Linked DNA regions of Anolis sagrei. The protein of the gene in region 2 interacts with the protein of the main gene of each other region in a pairwise test. Links are inferred from orthologs where the notes say so. Each region holds a gene or a part of one and is shown on either strand. Other genes may lie near its edges.

Region 1 (12,299 bases), on a different chromosome or scaffold from region 2:
ACATACACTGAGAGCATAACAATGAATCTAAAGCTGTATTTTGAAGCGTGTTGTATGGAATGGATCAAAGAATGGATATTACTGAGAAATAAAAAACTGCTAATTCTAGAAGGCCACGATCTAAGAACTGGGTGGCATGCCTATTTATGGCATAATAAGGCAAAAGTAGAAAAAAAAATTAGAAACCATTTCATACGGGCCGCCCTTTTAAAAGTATGGGACATGTATAAGGATAGGATGTACCCCAAAACACCACTATGGGTCTCCCCCCTTGAAGCCCACCAAAGGAAAGAGCTGGGCTGGAATTTATGGCCAACGTATAAGGAACTATTGCTAAAGGAAAGAAAGGAATTCAGTATAAAAACACAGGACGTATTAAAACAACAATACAATAATATCACTTGGCTCCAGCACTGGCAGCTAAATGAATACTTTAAAGAAGACAACAAAAAAGGCTTTATGGAATTCCCTTCTGTATGGGACAGACTCCTAGATATCACCAAAAAATACATAACAAGAGCATATAAGCTCTTACTTGAATGGGCTACAGAGGAAGAAAGGATAAAAGAATACATGGTCAAATGGGCTAGGCTAATAGGAAGATCTATATCTTTAGAGGAGTGGAACAAGATCTGGAACATAAAAACAAACTACTCGTATTCCTACTATTTTAAAGAACACTGGGTGAAAATGGTACACCAATGGTATCTTACACCGACTAGGATAGCCAAATTTACCAAACATACATGTAGCAAATGTTGGAAGTGCGGGAAGGAGGAAGGGACGTACAAACATATGTGGTGGTCCTGCAAGAGGGTACGAAAGTTCTGGAAAGTAATCCAAGAGAGCTGTCAAAAAATACTAAAAAAAAGTATCCCCTTAAAACCAGAATGGTTTCTGTTAGGATTAACAGAAGGGCAATGGGATAAAGAGACGGATAAACTATTCACATATCTGATTACGGCAGCACGCTTAGTGCTAGCCAAGGTTTGGAAACAAAGAACCTTACCAACGGAAGAAGAGTGGACAGAGAAAATAATTGAGCTAATGAATGCGGACCACCTAACGTTCATTCTGTCAGCCTCAAGAAACATGCCGGTACTACCAACAAATTGGGCACCTGTAAAAGTATGGCTTAGAGAAAACAAGATAAAATGGATAATAACCTAAGTCCCAAGTAAGACCAGGGGAGAGCACACCACCTGAGAGAAAGACCTAGTAACGCAGAGTAGTCTAAAATTCTCGTCAGGAGGGTCGAAAGAAAGTAGAAGAGAAGTAGGTAATGCTAGACGAAAAGGGCCCACAAAAAAAAACAAAAACAAAAACAAAAAAAAAACCTGGAAACAGGGAAAGTTACTGCTTAGACTGTTAAGAACCCAAGGATTTTTCCTTGTAAAGAATTATAGGTTCAAATGTTATAGGAAAGAAACAGTGGATGTTAGGATAGGACATGCTAGGAAATAAGAATCAGTTTTAAAAATTAAAGAAAAATAAAAGTAAGATACCAGATAAAGAGATACCGTAGACAAAAGAGTAGGAGGTCCACTGCCGTCATGGGCAGTTGCTTTTAAATGTATTTGTAGTGAGTGTGTTAGGTAAGTTAGGTGATTGTCAAGTTGTAAAATTGTGTATTATTATGTATGACACGTATGATTGTGATTATGTCATTGTCATTGGCATAAATGGAAATTGAAAGACAAACTTAATTGAAGTTAAGAAAGTGCTATCAAATACACTTTCCATGCTTTTAGGTGGAGCTCAACATGAACAGGCTCTCTTATGCATGTTTTTCCTTCTTTCAATGAAATGCATGGAGTTTGCTTAAAAATCAGTACTGTCAGCTGCCTATACACACACACACACACTTTCATTTTATTTTGGGAGTGCATTAATGCAGCACTTAGTACAAAAAGAGGAATTGGATTATACCTCATCCTGCACTAAATCTCATCTGAACAAACCTCTGATGCTGTCCATTTGGATTCCTCTAATTGCAAAATCTTCTGAATTAATAATCTATTAATAATCTATGCACAAAGTTCACCGTTCTGCCAGGCGTTCATTCTTTCATCTCTCTAACAAAAGACACAAAGTGCCTCACCACACTACAGCATGGATCCGGTTTCTGCCTCCTGCAGAATTCTGGGGTTTGTAGTTTAGTGAAGCCCAGGACCTGTCTGGCTGAGCATTTCAAAAGCCCTTCCCCTAAACCACAAGCCCCAGAATTCTGTAGGAGGCAACAACTAGATTTAAAGTGGATCCATGCTCCATGATGAGATCCTTTGAGGATAGCTAATATGATCTGCTCTTCACAAGCTTTTCATTTCCTAGTCTCATTCTATATCTTCATTATTTTTAAATAGGCTTTTTGGTGTCAATAAAGAAGATTTTAAAGTCGCCTTCGGGCTGAGAGTGGCGGTTAACAAATGCAAATAATAAATAAATAAATAAATAAATAAATTTAAAGATTTGTTTTGATTTTTTTTTAAAAATGCCTTTTTACAAACTTTTTTGCATACAAGTATTTATTTATTTATTTATTTACTTTGCTTATATACCGCAATTCTCAGCCCATGGGCTGAGCAACCATGGGCTGTATCACATAATGACCAGACAGACTACTGCAGCCTTCCAGATGCTATTGGACCAGTTTCTATCAGTTTCTCTCAGCAATACCCCGCACTGACACTGCATGTCATACCACAAGGGGGGGAACCACCGAGAAGGCCCTTTTCCTCGTCCCCACCAGACGTGTTTGAGAGGCTGATGCGACCGAGGGCAGGGCCTCCCCGGTGGATCTTAAACTACGAGGCGGAACGTTGAGGGAGATACGTTCGGACAAGTAAGCTGGGCTGGAGCCATATTATTAGTAGTAGTAATATTACATATAATATAAATATATCTATATATATATAAATGCTCTGTACGTAATGAGTACCTTAAAAACAAAACAAAAAACCTACTGGGCCAAATGACCCCAAATTTGGCAACAAAACTCCTCACAATCCAAGGAGTGACCATCACTGAAAAAAAAACCCACAAAAATACCTTTAAATTAAAAATATTACTATATTAAATAGACTCATAGAATAGAGTTAGAAGGGACTCTACCATAGGATTGCAGAAGAACAGACAGGAAGGAAGGAGAGAAGAAAGGAGGGAGGGGAAAAGGGAATGAATGAAGGAGGGAAAGGGGGAAGGAAGGAAAGAGAGAAGGAGGGAGGGAAAGAAGGAAGGAGAGAAGGGAAGAGGGGAGGAAGGGAAAAAAGAGGTACCGAAGGAAGGAACAATACAAAGTAGAAAGGAAAGAAAAAGGGGAGGAAAGGCAGGAAAGAGGTAAAGAAGGAAGGAGAAAAGGAAATAAAAAGTGAAAGAAGGAAGGAAACAGGGAAGAAAGGAGACAAAGGAAGAAGTAGAGAAAGGGGGAAGGAAGGAAGGAAAGAGAGAAGGAAGGATGAAACCAAAGTGGAAGAAGGAATGAAAAAAGAGGTAGAGGAGGAAGAAAGGAAAGGGGAAGAAAAAAGGGGGAAGGAATAGGTAGGTACCGCTCTTTCATAACAGTCCAGATATCTACCTCTACTTCGAAAATTCTTACTATAGGCCACAGCAATGCGTGGCAGGGCACACCTAGTATAATTATAATATTAGTAGTAGTAGTAGACGTAAATATATGTCCTAAACGGTTTGAGACCCGCCTACCTGCGTGACCGCATCTCCGTATATGAACCCACACGATCCCTCCGTTCATCTGGAGAGGCCCTGCTCATGATCCCACCTGCGTCACAAGTGCGTTTGGTGGGGACGAGGGACAGGGCCTTCTCTGTGGTAGCCCCCCGACTATTGAACTCTCTCCCCAAGGACATCAGACAAGCCCCAACGTTGGCAGTCTTTAGGAGGAGCTTGAAGACCTGGCTGTTCCAGTGTGCCTTTCCAGAATAGGAAACTCCCAGCATCATGTCCCAAACGCACTTTACCAGAAATTTAAGATTGCCTGCACATTGCACCTACCCTAAAATCCTTACATTTCACCAGTCATGTCCAGCACTTTTAATGTATTCATTACATTTGGCCCGGCCCTAGTTTTAAATGTGTCATGATGTATTGTTCTGATGTTTTACTGTTACTGCTTTAACGTTTATTGGTTTGCTTTACGAGTTTTATTGTTGTATTTGTGATGCTGTTGTTTTATTGAGGGCCTTGGCCTTTGTAAGCCGCACCGAGCCCTTTGGGAGATGTTAGTGGGGTACAAATAAAGATGATAATAATAATAATAATACCATAGTACAGGCAACAAGGTGGAACTGTCCTCTGCCCCCCTCAATGTGGACTCAGATAACCCAGTTCAAAGCAGATATTGTGGGATTTTCTGTGGTTATAGGACTGTGTGGAAGGGTCCTAAGTAATCAGTCCACACTGCTATATATTCCAGTTCAAAGCAGAAAATGTGGGATTGTATTATTTATTTATTTATTTATGGCATTTATATGCTGCCCTTCTCACCCCAAAGGGGACTCAGAGCGGCTTACAAGGTATTTTATTATTATTATTATTATTATTATTATTAATTAAACTTTATTTGTACCCCGCTAGCATCTCCCGAAGGACTCGATGCGGCTTACAAACGCCAAGGCCTCAACACAACAGCAGTAAACAACAACAATACAAAAGAAAGCAAATTAAAAAACATATGCAATAACAAAACATTACACTATTACACAATAAAAACCATGGCCGGGCCAATGATGGGTACAGGTTAAAAAGTGCTGGGTGTGACAGGAGGTGTATTGGAATTCTGGGCAAGTGCAATGTGCAGAGAGTCTTAAACTCTAGTAAAGTGCTTCTGGGACAAAGTGCTGGGTTATCCTATTCTGGAAAGGCACGTCGGAATAGCCAGGTCTGGAAGTTCTTCCTAAAGACTGCCAACGTGGGTGCTAGTCTAATGTCTTTGGGGAGGTCGTTCCAAAGTCGGGGGGCAAACACAGAAAAGGCCCTATCCCTCGTCCCCACCAAGCGCGCTTGCGACGCAGGTGGGATCGCAAGCAGGGCCTCTCCAGATGACCGAAGGGAGCGTGTGGGTACATAAGCGGAGATGCGGTCACGGAGGTAGGCAGGTCCCAAACCGTTTAGGGCTTTGTAGGTAAGCACCTGCACCTTGAATTGGGTTCGGTAGGTAAACGGCAGCCAATGGAGCTCCTTATACATACAATATATTATATTATTAGCATAGTACAATATCAGTTTTAAATATTGCTATATTGTACTATACCAATTAAGCTGTGTGGAAGGGGCCAAAGTGTCCTCAAACTGCACTCAAAGTATGGTTTAGATCTGTGGTTCCCAACTTTCGTCCTCCAGGCGTTTTGGATTTCAGTTCTCCTAATTCCAAACTCGCTGGGAGTTGAAGTCCAAACCAAAGGGAGGGCCAAAGGATAGGGACCACTGTTGTAGATGCCCCAATGGCGAAATGTCGGCCCCCCTGCTGAGAAAGGAAGAAAGGCATGCAGGCAGGCTCCCAGGCCGCAGGAACAATGCATCCCCGCCTTCCCAAGTGGTTACTGGGCAACCGGGCCCTTCACAATAGCGGCCGCTCCAACTCTGCAGGAGCGCGAGGCAGAACAGGTGGTATCCCGCAGCGCCGAGCTCCAGGCGTTCGGACTTCAATTCCCAGAAGCCTCCGCTGCTTGGGCCAATGGCCGGGGATTCTGGGAAACGGAGTCCAAAGCCCTGACAGACCAGAGTTTGGGGACCGTTACTGGAAGGGCTTCTCTTGGAGGTGCCAAACCTCCCACTGAACGGCGGAGGAAGGGGCCGGGGGCCGGGAGAAGCCTTCTCCCTCCCTTACCTCAGCCGGGCCGGCTCCAGCTTGGGCTTCTTGGCGCGGGGCTCCTCCGCTGCCATCTTCACGCCCGTCCTGCGCGAGACTGGTGCTTTGGCGGAGGGGAGGGGGGAAAGGAGGAGGAGGGCCGCCCCGTCCTGTCCCTTTCGGGGAAGCCGGCTGAGGGGAAGAGGGGCTGTGCAAGGAGAGTGCCTGCTCCGGAAAGGCCCCCCACGCAGGCCCTTCAAAGCGGGTTCGTGGAAGCCTGTGTTTCCTTTGCCACGCTGAGCAAATTATAAAGCATTCCTCTAATCAACCGAAAGAGGCGCCTCGGGGTCGTGAGGGCGGGCGCCTGACTTTCGGCGCAGGCAATTAGCGAGGACGCCCTGCTGGGGCGGGGCGGGGGCCTCGCAGCCATCTTTGGCCAGCGCCACTGCTCTTGCTGCTCTCGCTGCTGTGCTGGCACCGACGCCGCCTCCACCAGCCGAGGGGTGAGTCCTCCAGAGGGGCCGGGGAGGGCGGCCCGGGTAGAGAAGAGGCCCCGCTGCCTCTGGCCATGGCTTCGTGCCGCCCTCCAGGTCCAGGAAAGAAAGACACGCGTCTCTTTGCCAGCCTTCAAGGGGCCTGTGGGTGGGTTCAAGGCTGCCACACAGGGGTGGTGGAATAATACAGTTGGAAGGGACCCCAAGGGCCATCCAGTCCAACCCCCTGCCAGGCAGGGAAAGCACCATCAAAGCAACCCCGACAGGTGGCCAAAAAGAGTGCCACTTTCAGGGCATTCATAGAACCATAGAGTTGGAAGAGATCCCAGAGGCCATCCAGTCCAATCCCTTGCCAGGCAGGGAAAGCACCATCAAAGCAACCCCGACAGATGGCCAAAAAGAGTGCCACTTTCAGGGCATTCATAGAATCATATTGGAAGAGACCCCAAGGGCCATCCAGTCCAACCCCCTGCCAGGCAAGGAAAGCACCATCAAAGCACCCCTGACAGATGGCCAAAAAAAGTGCCACTTTCAGGGCATTCATAGAATCATAAAGTTAGAAGAGACCCCAAGGGCCATCCAGTCCAACAGCCTTTCAGGCAGGAAAAGCACCATCAAAGCAACCCCGACAGCTGGCCAGAAAAGTGCCACTTTCAGAGCATTCATAGAATCATAGAGTTGGAAGAGATCCTAAGAGCCATCCAGTCCAACCCCCTGCCAGGCAAGGAAAGCACCATCAAAGCACCCCTGACAGATGGCCAAAAGGAGTGCCACTGTCAGGGCATTCATAGAATCATAGAGTTGGAAGAGATCCCAAGGGCCATCCAGTCAAACCCCCTGCCTGGCAGGAAAAGCACCATAACAACAACAACAACAACAACTTTATTTATACCTCGCTCCATCTCCCCCATGGGGACTCGGTGTGGCTTACATGAGGCCACGCCCATCAGTACAGTACACACAATATAACACAAAAACATAACAAAACCAGAAAATAAAATACATAAAATGCAAAACCAATATAATAAGCGACACAACAATATAAAATGAAGCATTAAAAACAACATCAAAGCACCCCCGACAGATGGCCATCCTCTATTTAAAACCTTCAAGGAAGGAGCTTTCACCACACTTCGAGGTAGAGAGTTCCACTGTTGAACAAATCTTACAATCAGGAAGTTCTTCCTAACATTCAAGTGGTATCTCCTTTCATGATTTGGTTTGTTTTTTGGGTCAGGGTGACTTGAGAAATGGCAAGTTGCTTCTGGTGTGAGAGAACTGGCCATCTGCAAGGACGTTACCCAGAGGATGCCCAGATGTTTTACCATCATGTGAGAGGCTTCTCTCGTGTCGCCGCATGAGAAGCTGGAACCGATCGACGAGAGCTCACCCTGCTCCCCGGATTTGAACTGCCGACCTTTAGGCCAGCAGTCAGTTTGATTCCTCTTTGTCTGACCCCATCAGGCCCTGCTTTGCTCACAGAGGAGGGCTGGTGCCTTCTGGGTAATAAGACAGGTTTAGTGCTCATCAAGAAAAAGGAGGGGACACTGCTTGGGCAATGCAAGTCTCTTGGGAGCGAAGCAGGGCCTGATGGGGTCAGAGCAAGAGGAACGAAACCTCTAAAGCTTCTACAGGAGCCGATCACCTTGTAAAAGAGGTGGTTGACTTCTGGTCAGAAAAGAATTCATTGATAATTTTATTAAATTACAATTAGTTTGCATGTCATGATAAAAAAATAAGTATATTGCCTTGCCTTATGACTTACAAAGGAAACTATTTAATTTTGCCTTAGTAATGGAACAATAATACTAATGAACAATGCAAGGAAGGAAGAGGAAGGAAACGAGTTAGTGGCCATTTTGTACCTCAAAGAAGTTGGTTTGTCTGTGAAGAATCCATGTAGTTGAAACCTCAGAACCAAAATTTGCTTCCTTATGTGCTGGAAATCTTATTGTAAAACTATTAGAGTTGGACCAGTACTGATTTACCATTGAGTAGTTGATTCACTGGGCTTCATCATTAATAGGCTCTCGCTGTATCATTGTCTTCCAAGGGCAGAGTCTTTCAGTCCGCAAATTACTGTAGAGACCTATGTTGGGTCCACATGGTATTTCATAATAGGAACAAATGTCCAGATGGAAGGCAGTCCCAGCAAGAGTTTTATTGGCACACCTTCCTCTTGGCACATTTCTCCCTTTTGCCCCCACCCCCCATTCATTTTTCCACAAAATCCATAGCACTGTTGGTAACAGCTGACCTCCAGTTAGCATTTTGCTTGAAGACCAGGCTTCCCAGCTGTCGGTTTACTATTGAGCAGTTGATTCACTGGACTTAGACTGGTTGCATCTAGCAATTTGATTGAGACATGTATTTCTGTAATGTGTCATCTAGATCAGTAGATCTAGATGATCTACTGATCTTTGGCCTACAACTCCCAGAAATCCCAGCCAGTTTACTAGCTGTTAGGATTTCTGGGAGTTGAAGGCCAAAACATCTGGGGACCCACAGGCTGAGAACCATTAGTTTAGATAAATTAAACTGAAGGTTGTGTCTGTGTCAGTCTTGTGCCAGATTTAAAAGAGAAAAGGTGGTGTTCATGTGGCCTGCTGTTTTCTCTAAAGCTTTGTAGTCATGATCTTGCTTTAGTCTTGTATACTTTTTGGAAAATCTGTATTGTAATACTTAGAAACAACATATTTTGCTAGTTCTAGAAAACACTTCCTTAAACTATCTATACAGGTAGAAATGGTGATTGAAAGATTGCTATTCAATATTTTTATATAATTCTCTTTAAAAAGAAAAAAGAATCATTGGGAAACAAATGAAGCACATCAAAAGAATTCCTCTGGCATCTGTTTTGATTATTTACTTTTGGTTAAAAGCAGGTGTCAGTGAGACCTAGAAGGCAAGTCAGATCTCATCTGTAGATCAAGATCAGTATAAGTGATTGGACCTAGGAAACTACAGTGACTTTGCATAATGCCCTAAAGCTCTTTTTTTAATATACAAGCCAAACCCTAAAAATTTATGAAAAGCATGTTTATGCCAGATCTGTATTCTCAAGGAAGAAAATAGCCTTTTCCTGTGTTTTACTGTTTCAGGGCTGATTTTGTTTCTTTCCCAAGAAGCTTCTTTGGTTAAACATATTTTAGATGCAAAACTATAACCATGCATTCTTTTTGATGTTCTTGTCCAGTTTGATAGGGGACAGGGAAAAGGTTGTTTTGTATTCCGTGTCAGGGGCGACTTGAGAAACTTCAAGTCGCTTCTAGTGAAAAGGAAGCGCTTCTTAACTTACTGTAACTGTTGTGTGCCTTTGAGGCCTCTCTGACATATGGTGACCCTAAATTAATATAATTTGGCTGTTTGGTCAAGCATTTCAACATTTTTGTTAAAGTCAAGTGAAAAGCACTGTTAAATCACACCAGATTGCCTCTAGCTTCTTTTCTCCATAATATACAGAGGCATTGCAGGCCGTTTCAAAATTTAGACAAGAGAGTTTCCATATAATCACATTTGAAAGGTACAGATCAGGAAACTAGATTACAAACCAGAAGCATTAAATGAATTATCCTGGTATGTTTTAAGAGATATTCTATTGTGTGGAGCATCTGAAATGGATTTAAGTTAATTAGAAGGGTATGTTTAAGTGTGTGTTTCCCAGCACAGTAACAACTATTATTTCTTTGATATTACATGGCTCATTAAAAAGTATAATTTGGCAATTTAAGCAATAAAAGCAAAATATCCTGTGCAGATGTGATATTAGTATAAGTCTGTAGAGTTCTTTTTAGTTAACATCTCTGCCTGACTGTCAAAATCTACTGTATTCAGCTGAAGCCTTTGCCTTCAGGAGACTTCTTTGTACTACAGGATTGTAGCACTATGATTCCACTTCATTTGCCATGGAATCCCTGGGATTTGTAATTTAGAGAGAAGCTTTTAGACTTCTCAGGCAGAGAGCTCCTCTAGTGTCTCTGATCAAACTACAAATCCCACATTCCTTAGGATATAGCCACAGCAATTCAAGGGAAATTACAGTGTTATATGTTTACATCGTGAAAGAGTCCTGAGGTTAAGTTAATGGGATCTTATTTTGAGTATATGAAAGCCAAATTAGTTTGGGCATTGGGAATGTATCTTGATACGTCCAATTTCTTTTTGCCTTGTATTCTAATTATCATCTGAATCATGGTAATATAAGTAGCAGAGATGTATGAACTGGACATACTTTATTTACCTTCCCATACCCTAGAAGTAGAAGACCAGTGTGTTTTTGATGCAGACGCAAGTTATGTTTAACCATAATAATAGTTTTCCCAAAGCCTTTGAGAATATCTAGTCGCAATGGTCCGCAATTGATGGCACTGCACTGCACTTTTGTCCCATGCCCTAGTTCATTAGCTAAAATTTGCATTATCCTATTCCCTGCTCCTGTTTACAGTTGGCTATGTTTTACAACAGTTCTCATCATAAGTTATTAGGTGCTGTTCTGAGCTTAAACTTGCTTTTATATACTATTGGTTTTAACTTGTATTGTATTGTGTGTTTACATTTTGCCATATGTAAGCAGCCCCGAGTCCCTTCGGAGAGATAGAGGCAGTGTACAAAAATAATGGTAGCTGGTGGGTTCCTTGTCATGGGATCAGTGAATCTATCCAAAGTTCTAGTCTAAACATTATAATGGAGGTAATCAACATGTAGTATTATATCCCTGAAATAGTGTCAACACCTGAGAGTCCCTTTAAACTTTGGCCTAAAACCCAAAGAGGATTCAGTTGCTAACTGCTGTGGAGTTGACTTCAACCTGTGGCAGCCCCATGACATCCAACTCACCCTGTCATCAGCAGCTTGTGCAGTTCTTCCAGATTCAGGGCCGTCACTTCCTTGGTTGATTCTATTCACCAGGAATGTTGCCTTCTCAATTTTTTACTGCCTTCTACCTTACCAAAAGTCAAAAATACAAGAGTCTCAGGTGCTCACTTTTCCTCTGAATTTTAGGCTAGCTCTTGGCATCAGTTGCCATTTCCATGTGACACTTGTCAGCTGCTTGCAGTGAGAACCAGCCTTTTCAGAATTGTTTGCAAGTGATCCTTAGGCTTTGTAGCAGAGTCATCCTGCCTCAAAGCTCAGGTATAAGAAGCAAATGTGACTTAGCTTAGTGTTAAAACTGTTATTGCAAATACATCGGTTCCAGAGGGCATCAATATTGTGCCACAACCATTTGAAAACTGTATTCTGCTGGCCAGAATTTGAATGAATTTTGCAAGTATGCAGAAAGACAGAAAATAATATCAAACTAGAGACAATGAAATTAGAATTTTTGAGGGCTTTTAATCAAGAAAAATGATTTTCTATTGATATGTTATTTTGTTGCTATCATCGAGAACGGGAGGTAGGTTTGAAGTTTGTCATTATAAATATTAGCCCCAGCATGTTCTGTGTTTCAGTGTTTGAAAACCCTGAGGCATAATGGAATTTTGGAGAGAAATATAGAAATACTGTAGATTTCAGAACTTCGCAAATATTTTTGTCTGAACTAGCAGGTTATGCAGACTCTTGTCCTGTTAATGTTTTCCCAATCATTTTCCCTAAAGTAGAACACAGACAAAACGTCTTTTCATCGATAATAATTGGTTGTCTCTCTTCCGTTTTTCTCAAAATATGTTTATTGAATGTCTAGTTCCCAATGGCTTTCTGTGCCAATGTTGACCCCTTGAGCATTTTTCCCAATAAGATTCATGTGGTCTGCAGCTCATGCTTATAATTAGGACACTATAATCCCTACTTGTAGATCCAGTTTTAAGTGTTCTTTCAGATAGTCTTTTGCAGGAAAATAACAAACACTTGTACGATGTGGCAGTAATCTTGATGGTTACAGAAACTACTGTGTTCCAGTGCTCTGCCATTGTCCCGCTTTCAAACTGCATCATGTTTGTTATAGTTGTATGCAATATAGATCACTATAGGCTGGTTATTGTAATGCATATTATTTGTTTAAA
Region 2 (12,225 bases):
ATTGAGGAAAGGGAAGGATATAGATGAATATAATCACTGTCATCGACATGATTAAAAGTTTTTTAAAAAGTGATGAATGTTGCATTTTTTTCTGAAGTAACTCCCCCTAAGTTCTTAAGTATGCTTCCTATGAAGTACTCTTATAATTCACCTGTAAGCCTAGAAATTGTAGTCAACAGGATGACCCTAAAACACTTGGATCAACTTATCCACTGATCAATATAAGTAATGTATCCAAACTTTAATAAAAAGATAGCATCTCAGAGTAACAAAAGGCATGAGATTAGTCCATCCTGGACGAATAAAAAAGAACAGATTCTATCTACTCTCTTTGCCACAGTACTACCTCTAGCCTAGGTATGGGCGAACTAAGGCCTGGGGGCCAAATGCAGCCCCCTGGGTGCTTACCTCAGACCCTCATCATTTTCCCTGACTTCAGACCCTCTTCCTCCCGCCATAAGGATGGTGCAATTGGCCCCATTCATATGCCGGGAGGACAGCTCAAGGAAGGCACACAGCAGCTGAGAGCCCCTTGGATCACTCTCAGCCACTGCCTGTCTTGCCCTCCTCTCAGCATAATGCCAAGAGGATCGGGGAAGGAGGATGGGGAGGAGAATCATGAAGGGGGCAATAGTCATGTGTCCCACCTTTCTCCCAGCATAAGAATATGGTGAGTAGCCCCATCCTTTTGCTGGGAGGACAACCTGACGATGACCTGGGCCTTGCCCTGTCCCTCCTGACCTCTCCCTCTCCCGGCCCCTCCCTGCCCAGTATGTGTCCAGCCCTTCTCTCTCATGGTCCAGCCCACAATGCAGCCCCAAGGCAAAAAAAGTTTGCCCATGCCTGCTCTAGCCCTTTTCAAAACCAGCTCTCTCCATTCCAAAGACTGCCTAAAGGGCTGCTCACTATTAGTATCCTCGAAAATAAGTTCTCACAGTATAAGAGATAATACAAACAACTTACAACAAAAAATTACTGATTGTTTACAATAAAGCTATTACATTAGCTGGAACAATATGTGAATCCCTCATTGCAAATATTAATTTCTTAATATATGCATCCAATTAAAGACCTTTTAATTTTAAAAATCTGAAATTTGTTTATCAATGAAGAATTTGAAACAGTGAAACAAATGTAGTATCTCTGGAATCAGGATGGCAAAATAAAATTACCAAAGGGGAAAAGTATACATTTGATTTAATATCATTTATTATTAAACGGAACAAGACAGTAACATTTCATAGCAGTTGACTGCAGGAACAAAAATGGTGTAGTCAGTAGAGACAGTTATGGGTGTAGTGTTTTCTGAATGATACAAGAAAGCCACCTAGTGTTAACATTTAGAAATGAAATTGCATTTTAAAACTCGAGTAAAGTAATTTATAAGATCATTCTTCCTAACAAGAGTATTTGCTTGAAAATATTTATTTGTTATTGTGGCAATGTCTGAAGAAAATACTTCAAATTCAAGCTGACCCCAAAACTCATAATGAAACAACAAAATTCTTCAATGAAGGTTCAATTCCATCCTCTATGTTTCATCTAAATATATGCTAACCCAATGTATGCCAAGACATTAACAAAGAAAAAGTTGAAATAAAAAAGCTGGTATTTGTTGTTCAAACTGTCAAAGAAAAAAGTGGTGATGACAGATAGAATAGAGAGAGAAATAACAAAAACTCACTGAATATTATTTGGTTACAATATCGTACCTCAAAATATACTGTTCAAAAATCATTTCATTTGAGCTGAACAATAAAGCCACTCTTGAACTTGCAACTGATATACATTCAGGAGAAAGGAGATACAACCTCTTTCAAAAACAGAAATGAACATAGCATTCATTTAAAACTTACACACAAAGCAGCCAAAACTGAGAACACCTCCATATGCAATTTCTCCAGCGCAAGTAAAAGCTGACCAAGGATATTTGTTTTGTAGATTTTATTTTTAAAATGATGCATAGTAACAGTACAGAAATCACACAAGAGGAGGTCTGGGGTGGGGGAGAGTCATTCCTACCCATTGAACCCCTCCCCCTCATTTCCCCCATGTTTCTCCATACACCAAGGAGGCCCATAGGACACCTGCAGGCAGCAAGCACAACTTCCCTGCCCCCCTTCCTTCCCAGCAACAAAACATCGCTTCTCCCACTAAATTTACTCCCCTCCCATCTTGACGCCAAATGAATGCTAGGAAGCGCCTTCTATCCATCAAGTGGCAAGGGAGTGCAGGCTGGGGGTGGGAAGGAGGGCAGAGGCAAGTTGAATTTTCTCTCCATTTCCCCCGAACAAAAATTCATCCATGTTAAGAAGGGATTAGAAGCGACCCTTTTTTTCCATCAGCCGACAGAACTCACCCTTCCCCATTCCCTCCTTCTTTTACACAAACAAAGCAAGGTTTTTGTTGCCAATCAACTCCCCTACACACTCACACTATGCATTTGGACTATGAATGCCCCGGAAAGCTGATGCACTCCTGCTTGCTCTCTCTCAATCTTTCTCTCACAGTGTGCCCATATTATGAAAGATGTCCACATTATAAAAGCACCTGACACGCAGCTCCCATGTACATATACTGCATGCCTACAGCATAAATATTCCAAAAATCTTAAGCACCCCAGCAGCTCACACACAGTGTGCCTACTCTTATAAAATCCTCATAAATCTTAAGCACCCTCAGCAGTTCACATAGTGTATTCCTATCCTATAAAACCTCACAAGACTTAAGTGCTCCAGCTAGCTCATACACAAACACACTACACTACACTACAAAAGCCCCGCGAGTCTTATGCACATACACCCTGCCAGTTCGCATACATATACTGTGTAACTATGGCTGTAAGGAATTGGGGGAGCTGAAATTCAAAACACCTGGAGGGACTAAGTTTGCCCGTGCCAGGGCTATATAAATGCTCCGTAGTCTTAAGCACCCCAGCAGACTTACCCACATGAATGTACACACCTAATTTATGCCTACACTATATAAAATCCCCACAAATCCAAAGCACCTCAACCGGTTCTCTCTCACACAGAGGATTTGAGCATATGTCTATTTCAAATGTGCGTATTAGTTATTTTAACTCCCTTTTTGTGTAGGAACCTATCCCTATTCTTTTCAATTTATTCCTACATATGCTACTAAATGTTGTTAGAGAAGTCATGCCATGAACCCAAGATTCATATGGGGCTGGACGGCCCTTGTGGACTCTTCCAACTCTGTGTTTCTATGATATGGAGAGGCAGATTGCCTGGACCCAACCTACATGGTTATTTTGTCAAGGAAAGGAAAATCAAGAGGAGGAGTTTTGCATCCCACCTCAAGGCCAAAATCTGGGAGAGCAAATCTGGTTCACCATCTTTGGGTATGAGGATTCCGGCCATAGATGCAAGAAAAATGTCAAGAGATAATGCTTCTGGGACAGTGATTTGGGCCATGAATGCCTTTGACAATACATCTTTGGGTATGTTTGGCTCCAATTAGGCTCAGTGGTAATGAAGTCCACATTCTACCATCACAAGGGTGGGGAACATGGATTGAATTAGGAAGTGGCTGTTAGGAATTGTGGGAGTTGAAGTCCAAAACACCTGGAGGGCCAAAGTACGCCATGCCTGGTATAAATGGTATACACAATAAGTTTGCCCATGCCTGGTATACCCACAAATCTTTTGCACACATGTATTATTTGTGCCCTGTACTTCTCAACCACAAGGGGGGGGGGGCACTCAGGGCGGCTTACACCAGCAACAATTCGATGCCAACACATACAAAAACACACTATACCATGACATTACGTTTTAGATAAAAACATTAGGTTAATAATCAATTTAAAACATTATTATCAACCATATAGCCATATCTAAGTCTAATTCAGTGTCCAAAGCCTGTCCATTGTCAGTACACTCCTTGCCTGAACTATAAAGGGGGGGAGAGAAGGCGGGTTATAAATAAAGTGTTGGGTTGTTGTGAGTTTTCCGGGCTGTATGGCCATGTTCCAGAAGCATTCAGACCTCACGATCTTTGAGGTTGTCTGCCACAGATGCAGGCGAAACGTCAGAAGAGAATGGGTTGTTGTAGGTTTTTCAGGTTGTACGGCCATGTTCTAGAAGCATTCCCTCCTGACGTTTTGCCTGCATCTGTGGCAAGGTTGTGAGGTTTGTTGGAAACTGGGAAATTGGGTTTCTATATCTGTGGAAGGTCCAGGGTAAGAATGCTTCGGGAACATGGCCATACAGCTCGGAAAACTCACAACAACTTAATGATTCCGTCCATGAACAACTTCGACAATACAAATAAAGTGTTGTTATAAATAGTGTTGTTAATAGCTTTACCCACACACACAGACTTAAAATATACACTATAAAAGACCCACAAGTGTTAAACACCCCCACCTAGTCCATATAGTCATACATACACAGTGCATTCCTGCAGTATCAAGGCCCCTACAAGTCTCGGGCATTCCAGAGAAAGAGAAAAGAGAGGGGGGTGAAAGCCTAGACTAGAAATGCCCCTGAAATCATAACAGAGCTCACAACACGCAAACATACACAAGGCGACAAGAGCCCAAGCCTGAAGCATCCCAGCCAGTTCTCTCTCTCACCCACAAAACGACGGTCTGAGGGGGGAAAGGTCCCCGAGAGAGAGGTGCCGGTGGTGGGACGGAGGCCGGGCCGAGGGAGGCCCCCAGGTAGTCCTTCTCGCACCGCGCTTGACTTCCCTATATTCCCAGGCGGAGAACAAACCCCTCACCTTCTTCTTTCCTTTCCTCCCTCAGCCGAAGAGTCCCGCGTTCGCCAGAGAGGGGAAAAATAAAGTCAACTCTCTCGCTGAGCGACTGACTGACTGACTGGACTGACTGCCTCGCGCTCGCCAAGAGAGGACGGAGGGTCTGTTGAAGTGACGCGGAGGGGAGGGGGCGCGAGCGGCTCCTTCCTCGGCGCGCGCCGCTCCTTCCCCCTCGCGCCCGCTTGCCTCCCCTTCAACGGCCGCTTCTTTCGCCAGCGCGAGGACGGAGAGCTGCAGGCTCAGTTTTGCCGGATAGGAAAAAAAAGGAAGGGAGAGGAGGAGGATGGGAGCCCGAAAGATGAGCTTAGCTCCAGCACAAGGCACCCGCACCCACTCAGCCACGCCCCTTCGCCTCCCATTGGCTGCCTTCCTCACTCTGTGACCAACCCTAGCACGCTTATTGGGCTGTGCTGTTCGGGAAGGCACGCCCCCTCCTCCCCATCATGGCAGAACGCCCCGCCCCCTGCCCTTCCCCTTTCGCCCCCCCTTTTTCCCCCTCCTTCTTCCAATTGTTTGTCTCCTTTGCCTTTTAGAGTCCGAAGAGCGCTGCTGCTTCTTTTTTTTTTTTCATTCTCTCCTTCCTTGCCTCTTGTTTTGCAGTAAGGTGCATCTACGCTGCAGAATGAATTAATACACTCCGACACAACTTTTAAAACTGTGACGTCATGGGAGTTATAGTTTTGCAAGGTCCTTTAGCTTTCTCTGCCAAAGAACTTCATAATCCCATGATTCCATTGCATGGAGCCATGGCACTTCAAGTGGTGTCCAAACTGCGTTAAGTCTGCAGTGTAGACTCACAGGCATGGACAAACTTGGGCCCTCCAGGCAGGGCCGTAGCCAGAAAAAAATTTCGGGAGGGGTTTAAATTTTCGGGGGGGGGGGGAGGTTGAAAATTTCGCAAGGGGGGGGGTTGAAACCTGCCTCCTAGCTCACGCTGTAGCAAAGAGCACAGCAGGGGGCAGAGCAGCCTTCAATAGCCTGCAGCTCCGTCCTTGTCAACCACCTCCACCAAGTCTGGCCTCCTTAATGAGAGCATTCAACATCCCCCCTCCCCCAAACTTGGTTGCTTCACTATTGTTCTGTCCTGTGCTGGGCCTGTAAATAATTGTCTTTAGAACAGGATGTGCAATCTTTGCCCAGCGGGAAGCCAGGAGGCCTAAAGAGAAGTTCTCAGAGGTTTCCACCACAAACCGTCTTTAGATGGCTTGAGAAGTACAACAAAGTCTTTTATTAAAGAACAATCAAACAGAAACTTCTCTTGTCTTCAGTAAAGTTAAGCAAATGATTCCAAGCTTTTAGGCAACTGGTGAATTCCTAATCTTGCCCATGAAGGACAGGCAACTGTTTTCAATAACTTCTTCTTTAAAGGAAAATCCCCGTTTTAACTTCTCCCAGGCTGACTGTAATCTAACCCTTACTGATGTGGACTCCGCTACAGGGTCGAACTGCATCTCGAATGCCGAGTGGACCTACCAGCAAGGCAGTAGATGTTCTCCAGCTGGAGTTCTTTGGTCTTTAGGGCTGTTTTCCTGGAAATTCTTTGGAGACTCTTAAAACCTTTCTCCCCCGGAAGGTCTTAAGGGTTAAAGCTTTTGTACAGGGGAAGCTTGCACACATCCTATACATAAGCTTACCTTGCTGAGACTAACTAAAAATGGCTCCCTTCCCTTCCCAATTGCCCTGAGCAAGGGGCGGGACCAAAACTTAACAATGATGGACAGGTGACTTGCCCTATGACTGCAACCAAAGAAGCCACCTATCTGCAGAGTCCCTGAAACCTAGGACTGCAAGCAAACATTTAATACAAAGCAAATAAAGTTGGAGCTCCTGGTACAGCTGTACTAGAACAACTACATCAGCTATTGCTGCAAGTAATGACAGTGTGAATAAATTGCTAATATTTGCTTGAGATAGTGCTTGCAGTTCTGGAGGGACTCTTGATTTTTTGCATCTCATAGACTTAGCATGGGGATTTGGTTAACCAGTTAAAATTCATGAGTAAACCAGGTTTTGAAAAAAAAATCTGAAACATTTCGGGGGGGGGGGGTTGAACCCCTAACCCCCCCCCCCTCGCTACGGGCCTGCCTCCAGGTGTTTTGGACTTCAACTCCAACCATTCCTAACAGCCTCGGGCCCTTTTCATTTCCCACTCAGCTGCTTAAGCCATTACAGTTCAAGTGGTGTCCAAACTGCATTAATTCGCAGGTCTCGGCAAACTTGGGCCTTGCAGGTGTTTTGGACTGCAACTCCCACCATTCCTCACAGCCTCAGGCCCCTTCCTTTCCCCCTCAGCCGCTTAAGCCATTGCAGTTCAAGTGGTATTCAAACTGCATTAAGTCTACAGTGTAGACTCGCAGGCCTGGGCAAACTTGGGCCCTGCAGGTGTTTTGAACTGCAACTCCCACCATTCCTCACAGCCTCAGGTCCCTTCCTTTTCCCCCTCAGCCGCTTAAGCCATTGCAGTTCAAGTGGTATTTATTTGTCGTGTCAGGGTAACCAGTCAATTGTATTACAATTCTAACAGAACAAAACAGACAAAATACAAAATTTGCAAGCTTGGTAGTTGATTAAATGTCCTTTGACCAGTAGCTGGCCACTTGGAGTGCCTCTGGTGTTGCTGCAAGGAGGTCCTCCATTGTGCATGTGGCAGGGCTTAGGTTGCATTGCAGTAGGTGGTCTGTGGTTTGCTCTTCTCCACACTCGTATGTTGTGGATTCCACTTTGTAGCCCCATTTCTGAAGGTTGGCTCTGCATCTCGCGGTGCCAGAGCACAGTCTGTTCAGCGCCTTCCAAGTCGCCCAGTCTTCTGTGTGCCTCAACCAATGGCTGATACCAAATGAGAGACTCCCCCCTGGGCACACAGAAGTTCAAGTGGTATTCAAACTGCATTAAGTCTACAGTGTAGACTTGCAGGCCTGGCCAAGCTTGGGCTCTGTGGGTGTTTTGGATTGCAACTCCCACCATTCCTCACAGCCTCAGGCCCCTTCTTTTCCCCCTCAGCCGCTTCCTCAGTGAGGAATGGTGGGAGTTGCTGTCCAAAACACCTGCAGGGCCCAAGTTTTCCACCCCTGCTCTTTCTTTCTGATGTTGAGCTCTTTTGGAGGGTCTCCCAGCGGGAGAGATCCCAGAAGACCGCAAAAGGGGTCCTCAAACCTCGGTGAGCAGCCAGCGAAAGCCAATCCAAAGAGCAAAAAATATTAAAAATTAATCTCACCGGAGGCGGAAGAAGTTCAGCGACCGAAGCGTTTATTTTGCGATTCAGCTGAAAAGGATGCAATTGTAGTGATGATTCACATACAAGCATGGTTTTACAGAATTTCCAGGCATTTTTATAGCGTACAGACAAAGGAAACATTTTCAAAAATCCCACCCGCCCTCTGCCGGCCGGCTTCGCCCTGATTGGCTGGCCACGGAACAGCTGGGAGGAGGCTTGGCTGCGCGTCCCGCCTCCTGTCCAATCAGCGAGCTCCGCTGCCTCTAGGGGGCCAATCAGCGCCTTCCTAGCGCCTCCGAAGATGGTCCAATCGGCAGCCAGGAGGCGGGACGAAGCTTGACAGTTCAGAGGAAATGATGAGCCCAGGGGGCATCCGCCAGCTGAAATGTGGGGCTTTGTCCTCACCGGCGGGGTGACAGATAGGGGAACAATGAGTTTCCTGGTCTATGATTGGATTTGGGAGGAAGTGTGAAAAAGGGGCTTTTGATGGTATTTGGACCTCAGAGCCTCGTAAAAAGGGGAATCAACAAATACCTAAAAATGATTCAATCAGTCTTTTCTTCCTAAGTTTCGGTTGACCCTTCCCTCCCTTACTGTCTGCTCTGAAAGTTAGTTTGAGAAGGGATCAACCACACGGCCCATGCAAATGTAAATATGAACCGTTTCGGGAGGACAAAGGATTTCCTCCCTGTCACAGTAATCCTTAGGTCACATTCCTTTTGGGGCAAGGGTCAAAGAGGAGAAGCGGGGAGGGGAACCAGAGTACATTTCTTATAATATTTCATTACATACATTTCATATATTTTCACATTTCATGAGGCAATCCCATCCCCAGTGAAAGTTTATTAATAAAAATATTCAGTCATTTCATTATTGAAAGAAGTTCATGGTCTCCTGGTGAAGGCACACGGAAACGGAGGCTACTTGCGAATCGGGGCAAGCCTGATCTGAAGGTTTGTGCCCCAAAAAATGTGGCAGAAAACAGTCCGGGAGGTGGAGCAGAAAGTCAATAGGAGAGGGCAAATAAGAGAGTCCAAGGAGGGTTTCCGGGTTGCGATTGATGGGGCAATGTCCTTTGGGAAACTACATTTCCCTGATCAGAGGCCGGGACCCATGCCTGGCCACCTTCCCGGGACTCCTACGGGTGGCCGCAGTGGGTCCCTGGCTGCTGGATCCGAGCGGGAGCGAATGCTGCCGAGGAGAAGCGAAGAGCCTGGCTAGTTTGACAATCAGCTGTTTCTCTGCAAGATAAAATACTTAAAACAAAACTAATTTTTTTCCCGGGTGAAGGGGCCCAAAACGAGAAAAGGGAGACAGCGGTTAGTCTTAAAATTAATTGTAGAAAAATATAAAATTGGAACGGCGGCGATCCGCCAGTTTATGTGTTTTCGTGGATAAGGGGGTCTGAAATGGCGGTTTCCGTATCCGCGGTCCAGGCGAACGCAGATCCGGGGTCTGGGGGGCACCCGGAAGCGCCTCCCGCATGCTCACGGCTCTCCGGAGCCTGGAAAAGGGTTTATTTTAGTGCTGTTATGGTTTGAGTCAGAAAGGATACAAAAGTATCAAGCGGAGAGATGAAAAGTTGCAAGTTTCAAGTACTTTTATTAGGGAAATGATACAAAGTAAAGGGTAAGGGAAAGCAAAGTGAAGCTGCAAGCATTCCTGGCTTTGAGCTGGCTGCTGGGGCACATTTCATCTGCTGGTCCCAAAAGCTTGATCCAGGAACTGCGGAACTCTCCGCTGCGGTTCACACCAATGTGAAGGCGGGGCTCCCCGCTGCGCTCGGGCTCATTTCCATGTCCAGTTTTATTAGGCACAACCTTTAGTGGGCCACAGCCATTTCCCATTAAAACTCAGGCCAAGTCAAATGTTTAGCCTTATTTAAACACTGCCCTGGAGCCTCAGCTGACCTTCCTTCTTTTCCTCTTTCAGGGAAGACACGATTGGACATCTAATGAGTAAGAGTCGCACGGTTTATGAAGGAAAACAGCAACAGATGTCAGGAAACCGGCCTGCTTTCCTACCTAAACTCTACAGAAGAGGAGGGCATCCTGCTGTCACTTTAAATGCCACGGCTCAGTGCTCTGCAATCATGGAAGTTTTGGGTCCTTAGCCCTCCTGCCAAATAGGACTGTAACTCCCATACTTCCATCGCATTGAGCCATGGTGGGTTTTGGGGGTTTTTTTGTGTGTGTCAGGAGTGACTTGAGAAACCACAAATAGCTTCTGGTGTGAGAAAATTGGCCATCTGCAAGGATGGCCAATCTGCAAGGATGGCCTGGGGACGCCCGAATGTTTTACCATCCTGTGGGTGGCTTCTCTCATGTCCCCGCACGGGAAGCTGGAGCTGACAGGCAGGAGCTCACCCTGCTCCCCAGATTAGAACCGCCGACCTTTCAGTCAGCAGTCCTGCCTGCACAAGGATTTATAACCCATTGCACCACTGGCGGTTAAAGTGGAGTCAAAGTGCATCACTTACACCAGGGTTCCTCAAACGAAGTCCCTCCAAAGTCGTTTATCTGGTCCCACCCTAAACTTTGGACTTAAGGTTGCCTTAAGCCTGAAACGACTTGAAGGCACACAACAACAATCCTAATTAACTTGAGTATCAGCCAAAAACAGTCACATACTTCCCACTAAAATACTGGTAAGCTTGTGTTGATTGTTCTGCATTTTAAATATTGTATTATACTTTCTGTGTGTGTGTGTGTGTACTATAGATTGTCCACAGGAATTAATGCATTTTTTTTCAAACTATAGTCCGGCCTCCCAAGAGTCTCAGGGGCTGTCAACAGGTCCCTGACTGGCAAAAGTATGATAGCTGGGACCCTACGAACCCTATGCTAGTAGTGCAACGTGCGTCAGAATCAATGAAGGGAAGTCTGCTTGGACTGCTCCCAGCTGCTGGGGCTGCTTTCTTCGAAGGGCAGAAAGTGTGGTGGCGGCCAGGGAAGGTTTTTACAAGGCCCTAGTGCGAACAGGGAGTCAGGAATCGGATCCCCAGTTCCCCCCTTCTTCTGCTTTCCTCTGCCCGCTTTCTAACAGTGGAAGAGCCGGGGCAACCAGCATAGGGCCCCAGCTATCATACTTTTGCCCCCTGACTTATACAGTGCAGATTCACCCATGATTTTCAGACAACTGAAGACCTATACGTATCCCTTCCAACAGCCCTGCTCGGTCAGTTTTTAACTATGAATTTTAAAGTCACGTCTTTTCTCTAATGTATTTTCATCTTTGTTCTGTATATTTTAATATGTATTAACGTATGTATTTTACTGAATGGTTTTATGATGACATGTTATTTAGTATGTTGTGCCCCACCTCGACCAGTGAGGAGAAGCAGATAAGAAGTAAATATTATTGTTGTTATTATTGTTGTTATTATTATAGGGTTGCTGTATGGGCCATGCTCCAAAAGGACCCTGTGGTGTCACAGCGGGTTAAACTGCTAAGCTGCTGAACTTGCTGACCAAAAGGTTGGTGGTTCGAATTTAGGAAGTGAGGTGAGCTTCCTTTGTTAGGCACAGCTTCTGCCAACCTAACAGTTCGAAAGCATGCAAATGTGAGTAGATCAATAAGTACTGCCTTGGCGGAAAGGTAATTGTGTTCCATGCAGACATGCTGGCCACATGACCTTGGAGGTGTTTACGGACAACGCCGGCTCTTTGGCATGGAAATGAAGATGATCACCAACCCCCAGAGTCAGACATGACTACACTTAGTGTCAGGAGAAATCTTTACCTTTTCAGCCATGTTCCAATAGTATACACTCCTAGGAAAGAATACTCCTGGAAAATTGGCCATACAATCCAAAAACCTAAGAGCAATCTGGTTATTCCAGCCAAGAAAGCCTTCTACAATACATCATCATTTGATACATAGCAAGATTAGTATACAACAAACAAGATCACAATGCTGGCTTTTGTACTGGATCACACGTTGGACACTTCCCAAGTGTCTAGGACTGTGTGATGTATCAGCGAATAATATGTGCAGATCCGAGTAAGGTGGCCTTTTGCAACTGACAGATGGTATTTTTGTCAGTGCCGATTGTTTTTAAGTGCAGGCCAATATCTTTAAGCACTTGCACCCAGTGTTCTGATCACAACTAGGACCACTTTTATTGGCTTGTGCCAGAGTCGTTACAGTTCTATCTTAAAATCCTCATGTCATGTAAGTTTTTCTAGTTGCTTCTTGTCAATTCTGCTGTCACCTGGGATTGCAAC

The links.
Region 1: the proteins of SIPA1L2 (region 2) and AP3M1 interact in binary tests that used the Homo sapiens proteins (3 or more experiments, as listed by UniProt). The two-hybrid records come from large-scale screens. The link is inferred for Anolis sagrei from reciprocal best matches to the Homo sapiens genes SIPA1L2 and AP3M1.

Annotation. Positions count from the first base shown.
Region 1 is NC_090023.1:148,567,266-148,579,564, reverse strand, and holds the start of AP3M1 (AP-3 complex subunit mu-1), read left to right. Parts: upstream 1-6,197; 5' UTR 6,198-6,306; intron 6,307-12,299. UniProt on the Homo sapiens protein: Part of the AP-3 complex, an adaptor-related complex which is not clathrin-associated. The complex is associated with the Golgi region as well as more peripheral structures.
Region 2 is NC_090021.1:60,219,796-60,232,020, reverse strand, and holds the start of SIPA1L2 (signal-induced proliferation-associated 1-like protein 2), read right to left. Parts: upstream 5,126-12,225; 5' UTR 4,750-5,125; intron 4,727-4,749; exon of another isoform or gene 4,601-4,726; intron 1-4,600.